3 linked regions of the Notamacropus eugenii genome follow. The protein of the gene in region 1 binds, or shares a complex with, the protein of each later gene. Links are inferred from orthologs where the notes say so. Each region holds a gene or a part of one and is shown in the gene's direction. Other genes may lie near its edges.

Evidence for each region.
Region 2: the proteins of BMP10 (region 1) and BMPR2 are in contact, whole or in part, in a crystal structure (PDB 7PPA), measured with the Homo sapiens proteins. The link is inferred for Notamacropus eugenii from reciprocal best matches to the Homo sapiens genes BMP10 and BMPR2. Residues at the interface, in NP_055297.1 of Homo sapiens: Tyr329, Lys333, Asp338, Ser339, Trp340, Ile342, Ala343, Pro344, Pro345, Gly346, Tyr347, Glu348, Glu395, Pro396, Ile397, Ser398, Ile399, Leu400, Leu402, Val407, Tyr409, Phe411, Ala417; in NP_001195.2 of Homo sapiens: Asp38, Ser64, Tyr67, Leu69, Lys81, Cys84, Trp85, Ser86, Ile88, Gly89, Asp90, Pro91, Gln92, Glu93, Thr103, Thr104, Pro105, Pro106, Ile108, Tyr113, Phe115.
Region 3: the proteins of BMP10 (region 1) and ACVRL1 are in contact, whole or in part, in a crystal structure (PDB 6SF1), measured with the Homo sapiens proteins. The link is inferred for Notamacropus eugenii from reciprocal best matches to the Homo sapiens genes BMP10 and ACVRL1. Residues at the interface, in NP_055297.1 of Homo sapiens: Tyr322, Asn357, Tyr358, Pro359, Ala361, Glu362, His363, Pro366, Thr367, Lys368, Ile371, Leu375, Leu378, Lys379, Ser381, Lys386; in NP_000011.2 of Homo sapiens: His40, Val54, Val56, Arg57, Glu58, Glu59, His66, Gly70, Asn71, Leu72, His73, Glu75, Leu76, Phe84, Val85, His87.

The regions. Positions count from the first base shown.
Region 1 is NC_092872.1:632,853,687-632,860,561, reverse strand, and holds the start of BMP10 (bone morphogenetic protein 10), read left to right. Parts: upstream 1-2,493; 5' UTR 2,494-2,649; coding exon 2,650-2,983; intron 2,984-6,875. UniProt on the Homo sapiens protein: Required for maintaining the proliferative activity of embryonic cardiomyocytes by preventing premature activation of the negative cell cycle regulator CDKN1C/p57KIP and maintaining the required expression levels of cardiogenic factors such as MEF2C and NKX2-5.
Region 2 is NC_092877.1:298,672,571-298,679,445, forward strand, and holds the start of BMPR2 (bone morphogenetic protein receptor type-2), read left to right. Parts: upstream 1-2,985; 5' UTR 2,986-3,729; coding exon 3,730-3,805; intron 3,806-6,875. Other genes in the region: uncharacterized protein, read right to left, coding at 2,302-2,985. UniProt on the Homo sapiens protein: On ligand binding, forms a receptor complex consisting of two type II and two type I transmembrane serine/threonine kinases.
Region 3 is NC_092874.1:224,311,572-224,318,446, forward strand, and holds the start of ACVRL1 (activin receptor type-1-like), read left to right. Parts: upstream 1-3,289; 5' UTR 3,290-4,087; intron 4,088-6,875. UniProt on the Homo sapiens protein: Type I receptor for TGF-beta family ligands BMP9/GDF2 and BMP10 and important regulator of normal blood vessel development. On ligand binding, forms a receptor complex consisting of two type II and two type I transmembrane serine/threonine kinases.

The DNA.
Region 1 (6,875 bases):
TTCTGCATCTGCCTGCCATTCAGCTTGTTGAAGTGTGTGTTGACATGCCTCTGTTTGTTGAAGAGAGTTGGGTGCTTGTTTTGATGCAGACCAGGATAACCAAGGCCTGGCTGATGTGCTGTCAGAAAGCTCCATGTGAAAATGTTAGCACCACTGCAACAAGGACCAGTCCTGGGTTCCAGGAGTGTGGCTATTCTGAGCCCCTCCTATTGACAGTCTATAACTGACTTTTTTTTTTAAATAGTAATGACAGGATTGAGGTCTAAGGCTACTGAAGAGACTTTCACCAGAGAATTTCATTTGAACCAATATCTGTAAGTACTAAGGACTTAGGGAGTAATCTCAAGGAATGGATACTCTACAATATCATGAACAGAGATCAAAAAGGGCAGACAGCCTACAGAGTTGGAGGGCAGGAAGAGGAATTGGAAACTTGGTCAGAGAGAGAGACAGACAGACAGATAGAAAGACAGACACAGAGAAACAAAGAGAGACAGAAGCAGAGAGATGGAGAAAGAGAGAGGGAGGGAGAAAAATTAATTCAACCATGCAATTTCTTCTTTCCCTTGCCTTCATTATAGCCAATGAATTTGCTAGGTCAGTCGTTCAAATGTTTTAGAGAGTTCAAAAGATCTTAGATTTAGGACTAAAAGGGGCCTTAGAAGTCATCCAGTTCAATTCCCTCATCTTACAGAATAGGAAATAGGTTCATGAGGTTAAGTGACTTGCTCAGAGTTCCACAATTAGGAGGTGTTTGCAGCAAGGTTAGAACCTAGGTCTTCCTGACTCCAACTCTGCTATCCCTAAGCTATTGTTTGAACCATATTATATGAGCCAATGAGGTGTCATGGAAAGACTCGTTCATCTGAATCCAAGTCCAGGTTATTCCATGTAGATCTTGTGTGACTTTCTACAAGTGACTTCTGCTCTCATCAATTTCCTTATCTGTAAAATGAGGGGACTAGACTATGTGATCCCTAAGGTAGCTCTCTTTCAACTCTAAATTCTATGAACAAGGGATTCTCAGTCAAGATTTTAGAAGAATTAAGAATCAGAGCTGATGTTTCACTTCTAACCCAGCATCTTTCCTATAGGCATCCTCCTGGCTCTGTTCATCATCACTGGTTCAGGGACAACCTAATAGGGCTCCAAACAAACACCATGGTAGACACGGCCCCCTGAATAAGTCCTAGCCTATTTCATCTTTGTTCTCTAAACATGTGCGTTAACAAGATTAAAACTTTTGGTTGTTGAGGGGTGAACATTTAGTCCCTCCAAGATTTCCTCCTATTTATCCTGTTTATAGCCCATATGTAAATAGTTGTTTGCAGGTCATTTCCCCTATTTAGTGACTAGTTTTGCCTTTTGTTATATCTCTAGTGCTTAGCAGAGTGCCTGGCACATAGTAAGGGCTTTAAAAATGCTTCTTGACTGACTAACAGGCAGGTAATAAAGCTTCCAATCAAATAAACACTAACAGGCATTCATGAGTGCTTTGGTGCTATTTAATTTACGATTGTTCTCCTTTTGATTTTCAAGTTCAAGTCTCTTTTTATACCTAAAAAGCATGTCGACTTTCAAAACAATTTTCAAGAAGTTTGCATTAGCTCAGTGATGATGGATGTTTGGAGGTTTTTCAGAAATGTGTAAGGGTCACTATTTTAAAAAATGAATTTGTGTGTAGTGTTGACTTTGTTTAGACCCAGGCAATTCCTGAAGGGCAATGACTAAGGCATGGAGGGGTTGAGAACTGGGCCAGTGGAGAAGGGGTCCAAAGCAAGGAAATCCTGGATCCTTGCAGGAACAAGCTAAGTAAGGGTGACTAGCATCCACTAAGGTCCTCTTCTAATGTCTCACTGTGGTTTGGAGGTAAACATGGGCTTTCCACGGCCATGCCAGCAGCAGATAAACTCTGGCCACCACTGGTGAAGCCAAATGACATTGCGTACAGAAGGACAATGGATTTAGGTATCTATTATTGGAGGACCAACCCTGCTAATTGTGGAGAAGCTCACAACCAGACAATTAGCTATAAAGAAATGACCATCAAAAAATATCTTCTAAGTCATAAATAGGTCAAGATCTGTGTCAATGGACAGGGTGTCAGTATGTACAAAATCGCAGTTCCTGTAAGTATTGAAATAAGAAGTGAGTTAATTTTTGACAATCCTTACGTTCTTGTGCATGACAATCCATTCTTCTCTGTGAGCTAGAAATGTTTAAGATCAAAAAGTGTCCATGTCCGCTGAGAGAGACTACTTGAAAGGAAGCAAGACAGAGCCCTTTCAAGAAGAAAATTGTCCTATCTTCTCACCAGTGTCAGAATGTAGAAGTGTTTACAAAATGCTCATTAAAAGAAAAAGGAATTGGGAGATAGCTACAAAATCTGGTGCACAAGTTTACACTAAAGAGATAAGAAAGGCTAGGCTCCCATAGGCGATCCTGCTGTCCAATTAAAGCAACCTGGCTTTTTTTGGGGGCAGAGGAGGAACAGAAGGGAAAGAGACGGACAGAGTGAGGGAATGCTTCTAAAAGAGTTTCCAAACTTGGCAACTCCGGATGACATAAGTCAAGTCCTCTCCAGAGGATTCGGACCACTCGGACCACTGACACCTAAACTTCACTGGGCTTGGGGGCTTGAGCAAAGTCATGGGCTCCCAGCTCCTACCACTCTACACAGTCCTGTGCCTGGGAGCCTCCTTGGGATCTGGCAACCCCATCATGAGTCTGGAGGACTCTCCCCTGGAAGAAGAGCTGCCCCTGCTGGATGATGTTTTTTCAGAGCAAGATGGTGTTGACTTTACTACTCTGCTACAGAGTGTGAAAAATGAATTTCTGAAGACATTGAACCTGTCTGAAATCCCCCTGCCCAATTCGGCCAAAGTCGACCCACCAGAGTACATGTTAGAGCTATATAACAGATTTGCCACTGATCGAACTTCAATGCCATCTGCAAATATCATTAGAAGTTTCAAAAATGAAGGTAAGTTTGGGCTTTTGCTGTTATAAGTTCAACTAAATTTTTAAAAAATAAAAACCTACATATATATATATGTATATATTATATATGTATAAATTTACACGCATAGGGTGGTGATAGCAATTAGGCCTTGGATTTTACTGGTGTAAGCAATTCCTGGATGAGAAAACTCTCTCTACCAATAGAGTTCTGTATCTTCTCTGCAATTGATTGTCGTAGTTTGTTGTTTATCTATCCTCACGACTAGGCACTTTGCCATGCACATAGTAGGTGTTCAATAAATATTTGTGGATGGAGTGGAACCAAAATTATTCACTGAATCACATGGCCTTAGAATTCTACTTATAGTGCTCTGAAAGGTTGTGACTTGTACAGGATCACACAACTAATATATGTCAAAAAAGGGTCGCACTCATGTCTCCCTGGTTCTGAGGATGTTTTTCTATCCAGTAGGCCAGTACATGTGTGTATGTACATGTGTGTATATGTATGCATTTATATTATATTGTATATATGTATGCTGTACGTAGAAAATAAGTATGAAAAAATACTACAAATTCTTGCTGGCATGTTATAGACTTGCATATGCAGTTATATATAGACATCAATATTATGTACATATATTTGTGTATGCATGTACACTGTATTGAAATAAAAAAATACAAATACTGTAAGCCCGTGATACCATATATACTTACAAATGCATTATATGTAGAATCAATATGTATATATGTGTGTACACACTACATGTATACATTGTGTGTATGTATATATACTGTATATTTTTATATAGTGTACATATACATACACCATGTATCTTATACATATACACATACACTGGATGTTTATAAACGCACACACATACATATACCTGTTGATGTCTATACATAATATAAATGCATATGCAAGTCTAGAAAGTGCCAACAAGGATTTTTTCATGTCGTTTTTATCCAGATCTTTGCAGAGATGTCCCAGTTGGCCTTTCTATCTGACACCATAGCACTACATCTGAAGTGGGCTCATTTTCTTCTGATCAGATCACCATTTTCTGTTTGAATGCCTTTACACACAAACAGGCCATACCCCGTCTGTCAGTCTGCCTCTAAGTTCTCACTGCCACTCAACCTTTTTTACTGGCTTCCGTGTGTCGGTTTAGCGTAAGGAGGAAATTCTGAAAAAACAGACATAACGCAGGATGACGTGACAGTCTTATTTTGCATTTATATTCAAGAAGAGTTGCAACAGCGTAGAAAAGAAAGGGGCCACTATATTAAATTAGCTAGTAAAGGGTTAAAATGTCTCCACACACTGCAGAAAGAACTTTCTTCCCCATGATTCGGCCAATCCTGAATGAGCTGTCTCCTTCCCCCAATTTTTTGGTGATAATTTATGTTCTTACTCCCTTGTACTCTATTGTAACCTACCTTACATGCCACTTATCTGTCCTCGTGGGTGCCTCAACTAATAAGTTCTACAAGCTCCATGGAATCATTGATTTGGAGCAGGAAGGGCCCTCAGAGGCCAGCTAATTTACATGAATTTTACAAATGAGTAAACTGAGGGACAAGGAAATTAAGTGACTCATCCAAGGTCTCCCATTGTTGAGATAGAGTCCATGTTGTCTCATTCAAACGCTAATTCTCTTTCCACTCTACCAGCATTCCTCCAAGAGACTGTGCTGGAGTTGTTGGGGTTTTCTGTTGTTTGTTCATCTATCCTCAGGACTAGGCACTTTGCCATGCACATAGTAGGTATTCAATTAATATTTGTAGAATGGAGTGGAACAAAATTATTCACTGAATCCATGGCCTTAGAATTCTGTTTATAATTTCTAATTAAATACAGAACTTATTCCTATTGTTCCTTATAAATTTTACTATCTAGCAGAGCTTCCTAGGTAATGGACAGGGCATCGAAGGACAGGTTAACATGGCTTTGTCCAGACAGTTGTGATATTATGCTTTTCTGTAGCAATATTCCATCACACATTGGGCTATAGTTTGCTTTATTTGTGCAGTCTTCTTCATAGATCATAGATTTTGAGCTGAAAGGGACCTTGGAGATCATGTTATTGTCCAGCGCCCTCATTTTATCAATGAGAGAGACTTACAGAAAGTCACACAGGTAGAAGGTCTGGGTCCTTCTGAGCCCAAGTCCATCGTTCTTTCCATCTCTACCACGTGAACTCTTTCCAACGTACCAATATAGTTTAAGCTCAACTCTATTCATTTCTGTTGTTGTTTGGGTCTGGGATTTCATTGATATAGAGAACTTTCTGGTATGGAAACTCTCAAAACCAATGTAGCTCAACAGCTTACTTATACATTAGAGATAATGACGTATGGTAGATGTTTAGGAACCAGCTCTCTGGGAAAAACAAAAAAATGAACATATCACACACTTGTACTTTTAATCTTCACCATTAATATTTCCTCCATCACTTTCTTAAGTCTGGATAATCACCAAAACAATAAATCAAGCCTGGATTGGAAGGGTTGGATGATTTTTCACAATAGACCAGCAGGTTTGAGCTGGGCTCCAACACATTCTTGTCTACAGAATTGCCTAGAAAACTAAGAGCATTAAGCGACTCACCCATCCACGATCATACAGCTAAAATGTGTCAGAAACAGGCTTTGAATACAATTCTTCCCCCACTCCAAGGCTAGCCCTTGACCCACTATGGCCCATGATCTCTCAGTGGTCTTTTCCAGAACTAAATCTGTGACTCTGTGACCTATATTCATACCCATCAAACCAGATATTATGTGATTCAAGTGTATTTATTGATTAGGCTCACATAAGTTTATTTTTAAAAGATTTATTTTACACTTCCAATGTCTTTCATAAAACATTACACACACACACACACACACACACACACACACACACAAAATGCATTCTATTTGCTACTTCCTTTAAGTTTTTCTAGAACTTTAGCAAAAAACAATTCCGCATTCACTAACTTGTGAAAGGAGACAAATGACATTCACATTTATAGAGACAGTACACAGGCAAGTACAAACTCAGTAATCATCTCCCTCCAGAACCTATTCTGGAGTGCTGCCGCATACCTCTGTGCTTATTCCTAAGGACTCCTGATCTGCTGAGAGACTGGAGAGTGCCATCATTCATATCCATGCATGAAAAAGAGCCCCTTGGCCATCCACAGTTCTCATTGTTAGGTCTAATGTTCCAGTGAAAAACTAGAAGCAGCCTCAAAGTCCAACTGTGAGAGAATGATTAAATAAACTGATATATTCATGGAGTAAAATATCATCATTAAGAACAAGTATGAGGGGTACAAAGGAATCAGGAAGGAATTTTTTTAAATGATACAAACTGGGGAAAAAAGCAGAACCAGGAAAATGGAGAACATTATTATGAGTATAAAAGAAAACATGCACATCAGACAAAATGATCAAAGACCACTAATGGAGTCTTAGAGGATGTGTAGCAGAAATAGTTCTGAACTTAGAGGTAGAGGACATGGATTTGAATCCCAAGTCTACCACTTGCAACCTATGTAACTTTGGATTAATCGCTTTATTTTGGGGGCCTCAGTTTCCTTATCTGTAAAATAAGAGGATTAGACTTGATGATCTCTAAGGTCCCTTCTATTCAAAATCTATGAAACAAAACTGAGTGGCTATGTCATTTTATGCATTCAAATCCTCTTATTTCAATGGAAATCGTTTCAAAATTAGTCTAACCTACTGAACGTTTAAAATTGTCTATAATAACTCATATAAAAATGAAGCTATTATAGATATAAGCCAGAATTTTAAAGTTTGAAGATCCTGTGATTATTCAATGAAAATAAAATGTTGAAAATTGAATTCAGCTTGTGCATCAAACATTGAAAGTCTATCCTGAGTCATTAAAGACTGGAAAG
Region 2 (6,875 bases), on another chromosome or scaffold:
TTCATTTTAAATAGCCAGATTTTGGAAGAAAAAGTACAATGCTAGTTAATAACCTGCAAACTGTCACAAAACCTTAATTTTTTGAGTTCTACCTTTGCTTTTTTTTCAAGTAAGTAAGAAAATGGGTTTGCTTTGTTTTTTGCAGGACTAAATTCTGTCCTCATCTATAAACTAGAGTACATTCACATCAGATCTGTACAAATATTTTAGACTTCTGCGTATGTCAAATGTTTCTTAGGCAGAAACTTACTTGGCAGTTTTCCCTGAGCCACTGAATCCCCTTTTGACCACTTCAACCTTGAGCTTCATTTGGAACTGGCAGAACTTCACTGAAAAATGGGTATTGACCCCGACAAGAGAGCTGTTAGATAATGTTTAGCCTCTAAAGCAGTCCATGTGCCATCCGTAGCTTTTCCTTTCATCCCTATTCCAGAGACTTGGGTGGAAGGTCCCTCTTAAACTTCCCATCTCATGGGGCTAATACTACTTTACACGTACGTCCTTTTATACACAAGTAATAACAGCCATTATGATACTAATGTTTGGATAAAGGGTATGTGGTTCTATAGAGAAAGACTTCTAGCAAACACCATGCTACAAAAATGTCTGGGAACCCAGGCGGAGCTGGCATTTCCTTTACCTTGCATCACTGCAGTATACGATGCCAGTTTCACCAGGAGCTACAATGACTTGAATAAAATAATATTTATGTAAAAAGGTGTTCAGATGAGGGAAAGCTGTGGATTAAGAGCAGAGGGTTGGAGGTTCATTAAATAGTGCCTACATGTTTTTGTAACTCCTCGAGGCTCAGAGCATGGACCTGCCAAACCTGCCTCGGGAATAACTCCAGCGCTCCAGGGGAAAAGAGAAGGCTGGACGGGGGAACGCCTCCCCCTTGCCCTCCTACGCAGGCTCTTCTCCCGCAGGCGGAGTGCCAGCTGCAGACTGCTTCCGAACATGGCGAGACTGGGAGCTCGCGTCACCGGGCTCCGAGCCCCTCCCCTTCCCTGAAACAGCCCCCCACCCCCACCAGCGTCTGCGTCTGCCGCAGCGGGCTGTTTGGGCTCCTGGTGGGAGGAGGCAAAGAAACATCCTCTCCTAATCCTTGCTGTCTGGGTACAAGCAAATGGAAAAAATGGGACCATCCAAATGGGACTTTCGCAGTTCTCCAGACTTGAGGCAGGTCATGCAAAAGGCATAATTAAAAAAAGAAAAAAATGCATTAGAAAAGCAACCTCTCCATGGTCTGTTTTTAAAGTCTTCCCTCCTCCCCCTCCAGTGAATTGTAAAGGAGCCATAGTAAAAATAGCTAGCACTTTAAAGTTTGCGAAGCGCTTTTCCAGTATTATCTGTCCTAATCCCCATACACCCTCCCATCCCCATTTCATTGATGAGTAAACAGCCAGAAGTGAAGTGAAGTGTCTGAGGTCGTATTTTGAACTCAGGTCTTTCTGATAAAGAGATTGGGAATGTCGTTTTGGGAAAATGAAGGGCTGGAGTGAGAGTGCTCAGGTTTAAACACCACCTCTGATGCTTAATGCTCCTTTGACAAAGGCTGCCTGGAGCAAAGGGAAGTGAAGCGACTTCCAGCTTTGTGGGTGGGGGATAGCCTGTGCCAGACCCTTCCATGCAGTACAAAGCTTTATTCAGCATCCGTGGGACCGGCTGGGAGGACAGCGCTTTAGAAGCCAGTTGTTCCACGAGGTCTCTAGGGGCTATCAGGAAGGGTTTGGAAGATGGAGAGAGTATTTATGGGAGAGCATTTTGGGGTTAGGAGGAAAATAGGTTGGCTTTGTTTTGCTGAATTTGTTCGCTTTTCTTTAAATCAGGAAAGGATACATACAGGAAGACCAAGCGCTCGGATTCCCAGGGAGAATCGAGTCCAGCTCGTAATTCAATTCTCTCTCTCTCTCTTTTTTTTTTTTTTTGGTACCTGGGACTACAACTCCCAGGTAGGCCACCTTTCTCCCCGAGAACCAATGAACTAAGAGGACCCTCCCAGAGTACACTTCTATGAGCCAATCGTCGAGGGGAGAGGCGGAGATTGGGTGAAAATCACTGCTCCCAGAAGTTCGCAGAGCTCTTACGAGAAAATGTTATCGCGCTTTCCCCTTTCTTTTCCCTCCCTACGCGCACATACACACACACACGCGCACACACACCAAACTGAACGTGCAACAAGCTAGTGTAGAAAGGGGATGTGTGTGCGTGTGTGCTGCTAGTTTTGACCCTAGTTCCCATCCCCCGCCCAAGTTCCAGGCTCTAGACTAGTGAAACCCACCGGAAAGGGGGAGGGTTCACTCACTCCCAGTTCGAGGCTCGAGGGAGGGGCGGGGCTAGGTGGGGCTCGCGAGGCCGCGCAGCCGCAGTGGTGCTCCTCCGTAGCCGCCGCCGCCGCCGCCGCCGCCACCACCACCCGGGCTCGACCGCAGGCTGGAGACAGACGGGGCCGAGAAGAGACAGAGACTGAGGAGGAGGTGGAGGAGGGGGCGGGGCGACGCCCGGTGACCGGAGCGCCGCAGACTGGCAGCTGCAGCGTCTCCCCCCTTTGTGTCTGGTCTGCTCTGGTCCGAGGCTCGCGAGCTGCTCTCTCCGCCGGGGTGCGGTGTGTCTAGGTGCCCCCTCCCCCTCCCCGGGCGCCTCCATCCCCGCGCCGCCGCCCCCTCCCCCCACGAGCCCCGCGGGGAGCGGGCGTCGAGGAGCCGCAGCCCCAGCCTCCGCAGCGGGAGAGCCGAGCGAGGAGGGCGCGGGGCGCGACCCGGCGGCGGCAGCCCCGGCTTCCTCGGGGGGCGGGGGGGGCGACGCTGGGGGACCGCTGACGGGAGGAGGAGGCGACGACGAGACCCGGACGGCGGGGGAATGGACCTCGGAGCGGCTCGCGGAGCCGCGGTCCCGGGACTTGGAGCGTAAAAGGAGGCGGCCCAAGGAGAAGAAGAGGCCGGGGGGACCCCGTCCGGCCTGCCCTCCTCCCTCGGTCCCTGGCATTCGCACGCGCCGGGGGCTTACTGGTTTCGGTTCGGCGGCCCGGGCGGATCATGGGGGGAGTCACCTTTGCGCATCTCGTCCGCCTTGAAATCGAAGTGATTTGAAGCGAAACTTCCTTAGGAGGGACGTGCCCCCCACCCACGGAGCCGGCCTGTTCCCCTAGCCCCCCACCACGCACCAGGAGCGGGAGCGGCGCGCGATGCGGCCTGGAGCCCCGGGCTTGACGCCACCGCCGGCATCGCCCCTTCCCCACGCAGGGAAGTTGTAGGGGCGACGTTGTAGGGGCTCCCCCCGCCCCCCTCGGTCTGCCTCGGAAGACCTCCCCCTACTCGCACCTGCTCCCTGGCTATGTTTCCTTCCAAACCGGGCTCATTTTTCGATATTGTGAAACTACGTGGGAAAGCATCGTGGTGATTCCGCAGACGCCCCCGGCCCCCACCCCTCTCCACCTCTCGGTCCGGAGCATGCATCCTGTTTGGAGGGCACAGCCGCGCGGCCCCCCTGGCCTGAACCACGTCCGAGGAGGAGAGAAATGAAGGGAATGTTCTGCAGTGGAGTCCCAGCTCTGCAGACGGGTCCTTTAAGCATCTGCTGTTTGTCCTTTCAAACTGCATTGTGAGAATTCCAAGCAGGAACATCAAGATAACTCAAAACGGGAAAAGGAGGGGGGGATTCCTCCTGCCGGCGCTTCTCCCTTTCTCTCCTATTTTCGTGACCCTCTTTGGCTCCGTGGCTTGCCCAGGTATGACTGCCCCTCTGCAAAGCCTCGGGCCGCTGCTGCTGCTTTCCTGGACGGTGTTGCTGATCAGCACTGCGGCTGGTGAGTAGCCTCTGGGTGCTGTTGACTAGCCAGCTATTTCCATCTGGGGTGGGGGAGAGAAGGGGCAGGGCTGGCATTTAACTGAGCGTGTGATCGAGGAAAAAGCAGGCTGTCTGCTGTCCCAGTCAAGGCGCCGATGCGGATCGAATAACTATTTCGGGGAGAAAAACTGTATAATAATTGCATACGTTTTTCCATTCAGTCAACTGGAATTTAATCACTTAACATATTGGTGTTATTTATACATTTCTCTTGGTATTTTTTCCCCAACTAGGAAAAAAGCATAGTGGGTGTGGTATCATGACATTTTTAGCTGTGAGGTAATGCGAGAATTAAAAATAATGTTTTAATCACCACTGAACTGTGTGTGCCATTATGAGATCTTTGGGAATAGAGCTTTCAGTTTTCAAAGACGCAGATTTATGTTTAAAGCTTGGCATTTTTATTACAGCGTATGCAGGACTATTAATTTTTGAATTTGGAACATTTTTGGGGGGAATGTTGTTAGCTCCAGATTACTCGTGTTATTTTCATATGTTCCTGAGTGGCTAGATTAGATGATGATGAGCAGATCTGTGATGTTCTTCAGGTGTTGTAATACTATTAATTGCTGGTCTTTTTGGACAGACAAGCATGTCAGGGATTAATTCTCTGAAGCTGGTAAACTCGTTCCCCATATTTTCCTGTATTTTTAGGGTTGCTGTTGGACAGAGATATTTTCTGACATCACTTTCCAGTCACTGAGACAACTTTAAGAGTGTGAGTCTTGTGAGACTTGAAGTATTACTGTAGTTTATGAGTTATAGCAGTCACCCCTCCTTTTTAGACATGCTATTCCTCCAGTTTGTGGAAATCTTTCAGTGTTTTATCCATTGCTTGGAAGACAAAATATAGAACTATTTTATGTAATCAGTTACTCATCTTCACTATCGAACCGTACTTATAATATTGTCTCTGTTTAAAAATAGCATACAGATTACTAATTTAACCACAAGGAAAATTTGACAATGTTTCCATACATACGGTAACGTTGTGTGAGCTTCTTGATAAGCGCAGGGTGTGCTTCCTTGTTTTCCATTTTTTAAAAAGGGCCTGCTTCGAGAAAGATTGCTTGTTAACAACACATGTTATAGTGACTTTTGTGCCTAGGATATTTTGATGTTGCCTTTTACTTTTAGGATGAATATGTTTATAATATAAAAATAATTTGGTATTTTCAGTTGAAAATATTTTAAAACTCAGTATTCAGTGTAATAGATTAATTATTTTGCCTCCTTATTTATCTCTTTTAGGGAACAAATAACTTTTTTAAAATTTCTTTGTGACTATGTTAGGTAGTGAAACATCCTTCATATGTAGCATTTTAATCTACATATGGAAGCTGCATATGTTAAATGCAAAATTTTAAAAAAGTAAATGGCAGTGATTTTCCAGCAAGGTGCAGTGGGAAACAGACATCATGGCTTTCAGCATTTTTATGTCAGCATTTTTGTTGTGCCTGCGGCTGTACTGGAATGTAAATTCAATAATATGTAGCATTTATATAGCATTTTACTTTTTGCAAAGTGCTTTACCTGTTACTTCCTTTGATTTTCCTAACATGCTATTTCAGTTGATCCGTATTAGGCACTATTATTATCCCCATTTTACAGGTGAGGAAACTAAGGCTCAGAAAGGTTAAGTGGCTTGACCAGGATCACTCAACAAATAAGTAACTAGTACTGGTAAGTTAGGATTTGAATTCAGACCCTCTCAACTCCAAGTCCAAGGTCCTAGTCACTATGGTAGTCTGCCTCTCCAATGAAATCATTCGTGATATGACCTCCATAGAGTAGGATAAAATTATGGATTTAAACATTATTTTCTATCTCTAATAATAAAAGTTTTTAGAATGATAACCTAAAAAGAGTTTGGGACTTTTTTTGTTGCCATTTAAATCATAGCTTGTGGTGTAGGTATAGTGAATTATAAAGTTTGACTGGTTTAATTCACAAAAAACCCCCAGCATTTTTAATTATGTTTCTTTAACTAGTGTAGCATTTCTCAATCTTTTCAGTGCTAGGACTCCTTTTTAATGTCAGAATATTTCATGGATTTCACATACACACACGTGTACACACACCCCTTCCCATGACTGGAGTTGTGGAAAATACATAAGACAATCTACTATGAACTCAGTAACACCTTTAAATGAATTTGCATCTTATTAAGTACATACATTTGAAAAATAGTACTACCTGTGTTGTGAGATGTATTCTGCTTACGTGTTTATTTATGAATTCATATGTCCTTCACAAAAAACTTGAGAGACCTTTTTGGCTTACAGGTTGGGGAGTTACTTCTCTATTTACGTTTTGAAGAATTCAAAATCTGCTCAGGTAAAGATATACAAAACTGAATTTTTGAAGGATATGTATAATAGAATTAAGAACTCTTGCTAATCGCTGATATGTAGAATATTTCATTACTTTTGCTCTGCCAGCTTTGGGAAGGCACTTGATTAGGGTACCTGGTGTTCCTGTGGTGTGAAAGGACCTTTACCCAGTACTGTCTGCTAGGCTGAACTTTCACACTTTGGTATTACCTTTGGTGGAGTGGTGAGCTGCTCCTATTCCTCATAGGCTTACAGATCATAGAAAGGTGCCTTGGAGGTCAGCTGTGCCAACCTCCTCATTTTACAGATGAGGAAACTGAGTCGAGGGGAGATAAAGTTACTTGCTGAATGTGAGTTCTCTTACTCTGGAACCAGCACTGATAGGCACTGCCCCCACATTGCATCCTCCCCTTTGGAAAGTGGTTGTCTTTTCAGGTGAACAACATTATGACCTCTGATACTATCTCTCCTCAGTCTTTCCTGTAGTTTCTGTTTATTTGATATTTCACTTTCTACCCATCCTGACATAGTCAAAGTGTACTTCAAGTTAAGAACACCTGCTTTCAGAAAAAATTGAGACCATCTTATGAGGAGCTTCCTTAACTTTTCTTTCTCCCACTTCAGATCACTGTCTTGATTTCTCCATGTCCTGGCCAGGCCCCTTGCCTTAAGTCGGCTTGCCCTTTTGTTGTCTTC
Region 3 (6,875 bases), on another chromosome or scaffold:
TGAGGCAGGACAACTGACTGGCTTCTCCTATACGAGAAGAGGGTAGAAGCGGCTGGTCACTTTGGTTTAGGAAAACTGACTCCTGCAGAGTGGGTCTGGGCACCCTATGTGAAAGGGTATCCCATTAAGTGGGCATGTCTAGGGAGTCAAGACCAGATCTAAGTGAGGAAAGGAAGGACCATGGATCCAGTGGAAAGAAGTCAGAAAATGTAGGTGTAAATACAAGGTATAATCATGGCAAATCACTTCACCTATCTGTAAAATGGGTATAATAATGCTATGCATCTACATAGCTCACAGGATCATCATGGATAAATTATGCTTTAACTATACAAATTTGAATAATGATCCTTTATTAAAGATTATAGGAAAGAATAGGCAAGACAGTCAGGCCCTATCCTTGTTCACCAGCTCCAAAGAAGAACAATGCTTGGAGATCCCAAGATGTAAACAGTAGCTGGGAACAGAAGAGGAAGATGACTCACTGGCCCTTTGTCTGGCATCCCCTGTTGCAGGTCTACCAGTCCCTTCCTGAACTTCTAAGACCATTAACTTCTCCACTCTCTGCCCTTCCCCCACTCCCCCCATTCCAGTACCTTATACATCCTGTCAGCTGCAGAGAGAGGGGCTGGGGAAACCAGGGGGTGCCAGCTTGTCTGAGATAGATGACATCTAACGGGTCACTTCATCCATCCTTCTGCCTTGGAGTCCAGGACCTAAATCTCCCACATCTAAGTTTTTGTTCTCTGTGATAAAGAATCATCCTTCCTCATATTTCAGCCTTTCTCTCAGTCCCAGTTTCCAACTACCTGCCCCCAATCTTTAGCTCTTTCCTCTTTGGTCACAGGTCTTATTCTCAGTCTCTGTGTCCCTCCTCTGATTACTCCTCATGACCCCCAAAGCCTCCATATCCCTCTGACATTGTGAGGTCTAGGACCAGATACAGAAATCTCACCTGGTCTAGGATGGAGATTCTCCTTCTCTAGGTTACAGCACTTATTGGGAGGTTGGGGCAATTACAAGGTGGATAGCAGAGAGTAGAGGAGGAACAGTCAGCTAAAATAATGGTACATAGCCCATTAGGGACCTCTCTTGTCCTTGGTATCTGGCACCAAAGCTGTAAATTAGCCCTTGGAGAATGGAAAGAAGGAAGGAAGGAAAGAAGGAAGGAGGAATGAAAAGAAGGAAGGAAGGAAGGAAGGAAGGAAGGAAGGAAGGAAGAGAGCTTCTGCTGTCAAGGAGTTTACATTCTAATGGTGAAAAACATAACAGAAAGCTAGGAAAAGGGAGTGTAAGGAGATATGAGAAAGAAGTTTGGAGTATTGGGAGTGGAACTTGAAGAGGAAGGGGAATGTGAGCATGGTTGGCCTTGGGCCCTTCCTTAAAATGGAGCTTCTGGGAGGAACTGCTAGATCAGGGGAAGGGGCCCCAGGAATCTTCCTGGGTTGAGGTTTTCTGGAGCCTGGTAGAGAAAGAAGTCTGGAGAGTCAGAGCCTAGAGGAATGGAATTAGAGTCAAAAGAACTGAGTTCAAATCCTGGCTCCATTCCCTCTTTACTCTCTATAGAACTTTGGATAAGCTACATTTCTGTGGGCCTCACCTGTACAAGGAGGGGTTGGCCAAGAAGCTAGTTACTAACCAATTTGGATGACCCTGTCTAGCTCTGATAAGCTGTGAAATCTTCTCTGAGTCAGCGCCCTGAGTGACTGTGGATCATTGGTTCACACATTTCAAGCTGGACAAGGCCTCAGAGGTAGTCTAGTTCCAACACTTCTTTTTATATATGGGGAAAAGGCAGCCAAGAGAGCTTGAGAGACTTGTTTTCCGGGAGCTCACAATCTAGTTGGGACAATTACAGAAGACATCCTATAATTAAGGGCCAAGCTACTCTGATTAAAACACTAGCTGTTGTTAGTATTCAGAGGAGTGAGGGATCCATGAGACCTCCTCCACCCCTTGGCGATTTAGCCCCATCTTTGTTCCCCTTCCCTTCCTAATGCAAAGAGGACACAAGGAAATTTCCCATCTAATTCTGGCTACAAATGCTTTCTAATTCATCACCCCCCCACTCTACTCTGCCTCTATCATGCTCCAAGTCTGGACTCAAAATGACAACTCCCTCTCTACCCTCTCCCACCTCTCTAGCCTCAGACATGTATTTCCTAGGTTTTAAAATCTCACTTCCCAAGCTCCCTTGGGCCCCTGCTCCCCTGTCTCCTGCCTGACTCAACTGGGAAGTTCTTCTGCATGTCTAATCTCAGTATCTGCCTTTGGCCTGCTTCCTCCCTGGATATGGGGAACAGCTGGTCCCTCTGAGCAGTAAATCGTTGTAGACTTGGACACAGATTCTAATTCCTTTCCCCTTTCTTCAGAGGTCTGACTTTTAGCTCTTTCCCAATCCATGTGTCACTGAACAGAAGACTGTAAACTAGGTCAGCGATGGCTGATTAAAATGGAGAGAAGAGCAGAGACTCTGAATATCTCTCACCTCCCCACTCTTATCCCAGCCCTGTCCTTCCCCTTCAGACCTCTGATCTACTCTTCTCCAAAAAAGCCCTCCAGGAAGAGCCCTTCTGAAAGACTTTTCTTTCCCCTTTGCCCACCAGCTCCACTACCTTTAGATGCTTAGCATTCCGTCCTTGTTTCTCTCTCCCTGTTGCTTCTTGCCTTAATTTTTCCACTTTGATTTCTTTTTTCTTAACCCTTGCTATATCTCAAACAGGTTCTGGAAATTCATAGTCTTCACAACTGATAATAACATGTCAACAGAGGAAAGGAAGTCAGTCACCAAAGGAGCTGAGATAAAGCAGAAGCAACTCAATCCTTGCAACTGTTGCTTAGCCAGCTTGTGGTACCCTTTGATTCCCAGACCCTTCTCTACCATTACAAAGAGATGGCCCAATCCCACCTCATTTGGGGAACTCCATTTATTTTTTCCCCTTTGTGTTTCCTTATGCTCCTTTGATGAACCCCTTTCCCAACAATGGTGGAGAGCAGGGAATAGGAAAGGTTAGTCCCAAGAGGCTCACTCTGGTTCCTTCCCGGTGACTACCCCAAATTTGGAACGGACTCGTCCCAACAGGTATGTCTTGGCACAGACTTGAACAAACCCTTCCAACACCCTTGAGATATGACTTACAATTTCAGGCCTGAGCTACTTTTTCCAGAATCTCTCACTCCCCCACTGCTCAGCCTGGCTCCTAACCCTCTCACTGGGGACAGCCTTAAGGAGAGAATAGATTATAATCCATTTTTTTTAAGAGTTAAAAAGAGCATTGGAGAGTAAGTACTCCTCATTTTATAGGTTAGGATATGAAGCACAGACAAGCGAGCTAACTTGTCGGAGGTCCCAGAGCCGGGCTATTCGTTCCTTACACTGGGATGCTTGCCTTGAGCAGCAGAGGCTCTGGACCCCACTACCTCACATGGAGCAGCTGGGCTTTTGGAGCTGATGATGATTTGCATTTGGTGACTCCAGCCCCCAAAGCGGGGGCCCTACCCCCCCACTTCATCCCCATTCCCGAGCAAGGCCAGGGAGCTGGAGCCGGGGCTGGGCTGGGCTGGAGGGAGCAGCGGATGTGGGAGGTTTGTGGAGGGGGTGCGGGGGAGACCGGAGGGAATGGTCAGCTGGCGAGGAAGAGAGGGGAGGCGGCCCCATAAACAGGGAGAGAGCAGTCCCTGTAAACGCGTTTGGCAATAGGAAACGGTATATTACAGGGGAGGGAGTGGCGGAGTAGGGCCAGGCAGGAAGAAGCTGGAAGAAGACACTTTACAACTCCTGCCTGGTCTTTCCCGAGTGCCGGCGGGCCGAGCAAGCGGCCCCCAGGGCTCAGCGGGGCTGGAGAGGGGATCGAGAGCATCCCCACCCTATCCCCGGGCCCCCAAGGGCCCCAGGACCCCAGCGAGGGCCCGGCGGCAGAGCATCCGCAACTCAGATCCAGAGGAGGAGGAGGAGGAGGAGGAGTCAGGGGTGTCAGGGGCGTGGGAGGAGAGGAGCTGGCCTGAGTCCACACCTCCCCCTTGTCCGCCACCCCCCAAGTCCCAGGGCTGCTAGCCCTCTGGCTACAGCCTAGGGCAGAGCAGGGAGGTGAGTTGGGGTCAGCCCTTGGGGAGTAGGGAGGGGGAAAAATTCGCTGATTTCCAGGCGTGAAGCCCATATTGTGATTCCAGGATGGGATATCCCTATTCCCAGAAAACCTCGGCCTTATAATTGGAATTCCTATGACTTCCACTCCATAGGCCTAAACCTCTAATCCCTAGTCTATAACTCTGGTCCCCAACACATAGGGATCACTAGTTAAATAATGTTGTTTAGGTAACCCATAGGCTCTGAACTTCCCAAGATCATCCTTCTCAGTTGCACTATCTCACTCCCAAATCAGATTGCCAAACTACACCTTCTAGATTCCCCCTCCCCTGTTTACCAGCACCAATATGTTGATTTACTGATTTGCAAGGGTAGATGGGCTTTTCCAGTGAATAGATGCCTCTTATCTTCTAAAGCGTGGTCCTGGGACTGAGCTCTCTGGATGACCATGTTAGTTTCTTGAGTCTTTCTCCAACTCTCCTTTCTACAGACTTGGTGTGACCCATCTGTCCTCTAAATATCTGATCTCTTCATCACACCATTTCCCTCACTTTTTTTTTTTTTAGCACTTTTTGGTAACATGTCCCAGTTCTAAAGTGTATATAGTCTTTTCTGCATTGATTTAGTTGAACTTAATTATCTTTAAAGACCTACTCTGTGCAAGCTGCTGAGGGTACAAAGGTATGATATTAATCCTGCTTTTAAGGACTTTGTGATCTAAATGGGGAAGAGTGGAAGGACAATTATATAAGCAGCTATGATATAAGGGGGTGTGAGATAAGTGCAAAGGAGAATCCTGGTAAGGTGTCATGGGACACTTAAGGAGGAAAAGAATCAAAGGAGGTTGGGGGAGGGGGTGGGGACAGTCTCAGGGGAGATTTCTTGGAGGATGTGGCTTTGAAAGAAGAGGGGATTAAAAGGCTGGAGATAGGAGTAGAGGTATCCTTTTCAGGCATGGGGTATGATTAAGAGTGAAGGGACACAGATGAGAGCCAGCAGGTAGAGAATGGGAATGGAGAGTAATCTCATGAAGGAAAATAGTATGAGATAAAGACATGTGGTACAGATGTTGTAGGCAGAGGTGCCTATTATATAGGAACCAGATTAAAATGTAATTGGGGAATGTTTAACAAAAATAAATTAAAATACAATAGAACATAGATAATGTTAATTTGTGGTTTTCTAAGTCGATATGCCACCAACAGGAAGAATTATGCATGATTTAATAGTGAGTTTGCATCACTTTGCAAAGGACCTTAAATAACAGGGCCAGGAGGTTTTATTTTATTTGGTAGGTGATGGGAGCCACTGAAAGTTTTAATGTAAAGGAATAAACTGGAAGTATCCTGGGGACCTCAAGTAAGGCTGCAGAATCTTATCAGGAGTTCCTTTCTGTTCCATTGGCTCCAAAGGAGGTTTTTCTGAAATATTAAATCCCATGTATGTGGGCAGAATCAAGTTGGTCTCTACCACAAGTGATGACCCTTTCCAGGACTGGAAGTTCTGGCCTCTTCTTGACCTTTGTCTCAGTTAGGTCTTCCCCTAGATTTCAGGGCTCTTGATGGGTTGGACCCCCAATCTGACCCCATAACTCTAACCCCATAGCCACAACCCTTTTATTGCCAAAGGGAGTATGATATCTAAGTCAAGTCCTGACTTAGACATTTACTAGCTATTACCCTTTCTCACCTTCAATTTCCTTATCTTTAAAATGGGAAATGGGAAAAGATGATCTTGGCTCTAAATTCTATGCTCCTATGGCCCTCCTTAAGAGACAGTCCTTTAGGGGGCCAGCATTTCTGTTTTTTTCTTCTGACTCTCCTGTAAACCCATTCCCTGCCATCTTGGGACACTCCCCTTACCCTACTCTCCCTGACCACCTTGGCTCTGTAGACCAACATCTACTGTGCATACTGTCTAGACCATTATACTTCCTCCCTTTTCCTGAAGAGATGATAATATATGCTTGTTTGGGCAAATTGATCTTTCTCTAAGGGCAGTTTAGGACTCTACCCAGAAAGGACCATGTTGTACGTCTACTTAGATGATGAAATCTGTTTCTTCTTTCTTCTGTTTAGTAATTAGCCCTACCCAGTGCCATATCGTGTTGTAAGGTTTTCCCTTCTTTGACTCTGGCACTCTCAGGTGAGGGATGATCTAAAGGGAGGAAGAAATATGGAATCATAGTTGGTCATATCCAAGTCTTCTGCATTTTGCCTCCATAACATCTCCTGCATCTGAACCTTTCTCTCCATTCCCATGGCCCCTACCCTAGTTGAGGACCGCCATCATCCTAGTATGATTGCAGCAGCTTTTTAATGAGGCTCTCTGCTTCCAGTTTCTTCCTTTCTCCAATACACGTTTCATAGAGTTTGCAAAAACAATCTTCCTAAAGTACAGGCCTTATGTTTGCTCAAAAATACTCTAGTGGGTCCCTATTTCCTCTGGGATAAAAACTAACTCCTCCAACTAGCATTTCAGCCCTCCCCACTCTGGCTCCAACATGCCTTTGTAGAGATCTCATATTACCCCCTTTCACTCATTGTACAGTCAAGCCAAACTGGCCTGCTAGTGTTCCCAAAATTCCATCTGCTGTCTTTGTGCCTTCCCACAGACCTTCCCCCATGTCTGGAATGTGTTCCTTCCTCTTCTCTGCCTCTGAGAATCCTTAGCTTCCCTAAACTAGCCTGGTATAGTGGATAGAGGGCTGGACTCCAATCCTGCCTCAGTACCTGGGGCAAATCACTTCACCTGTGTGGGACTTGATGACCTCAAAGGTCCCTTCTAA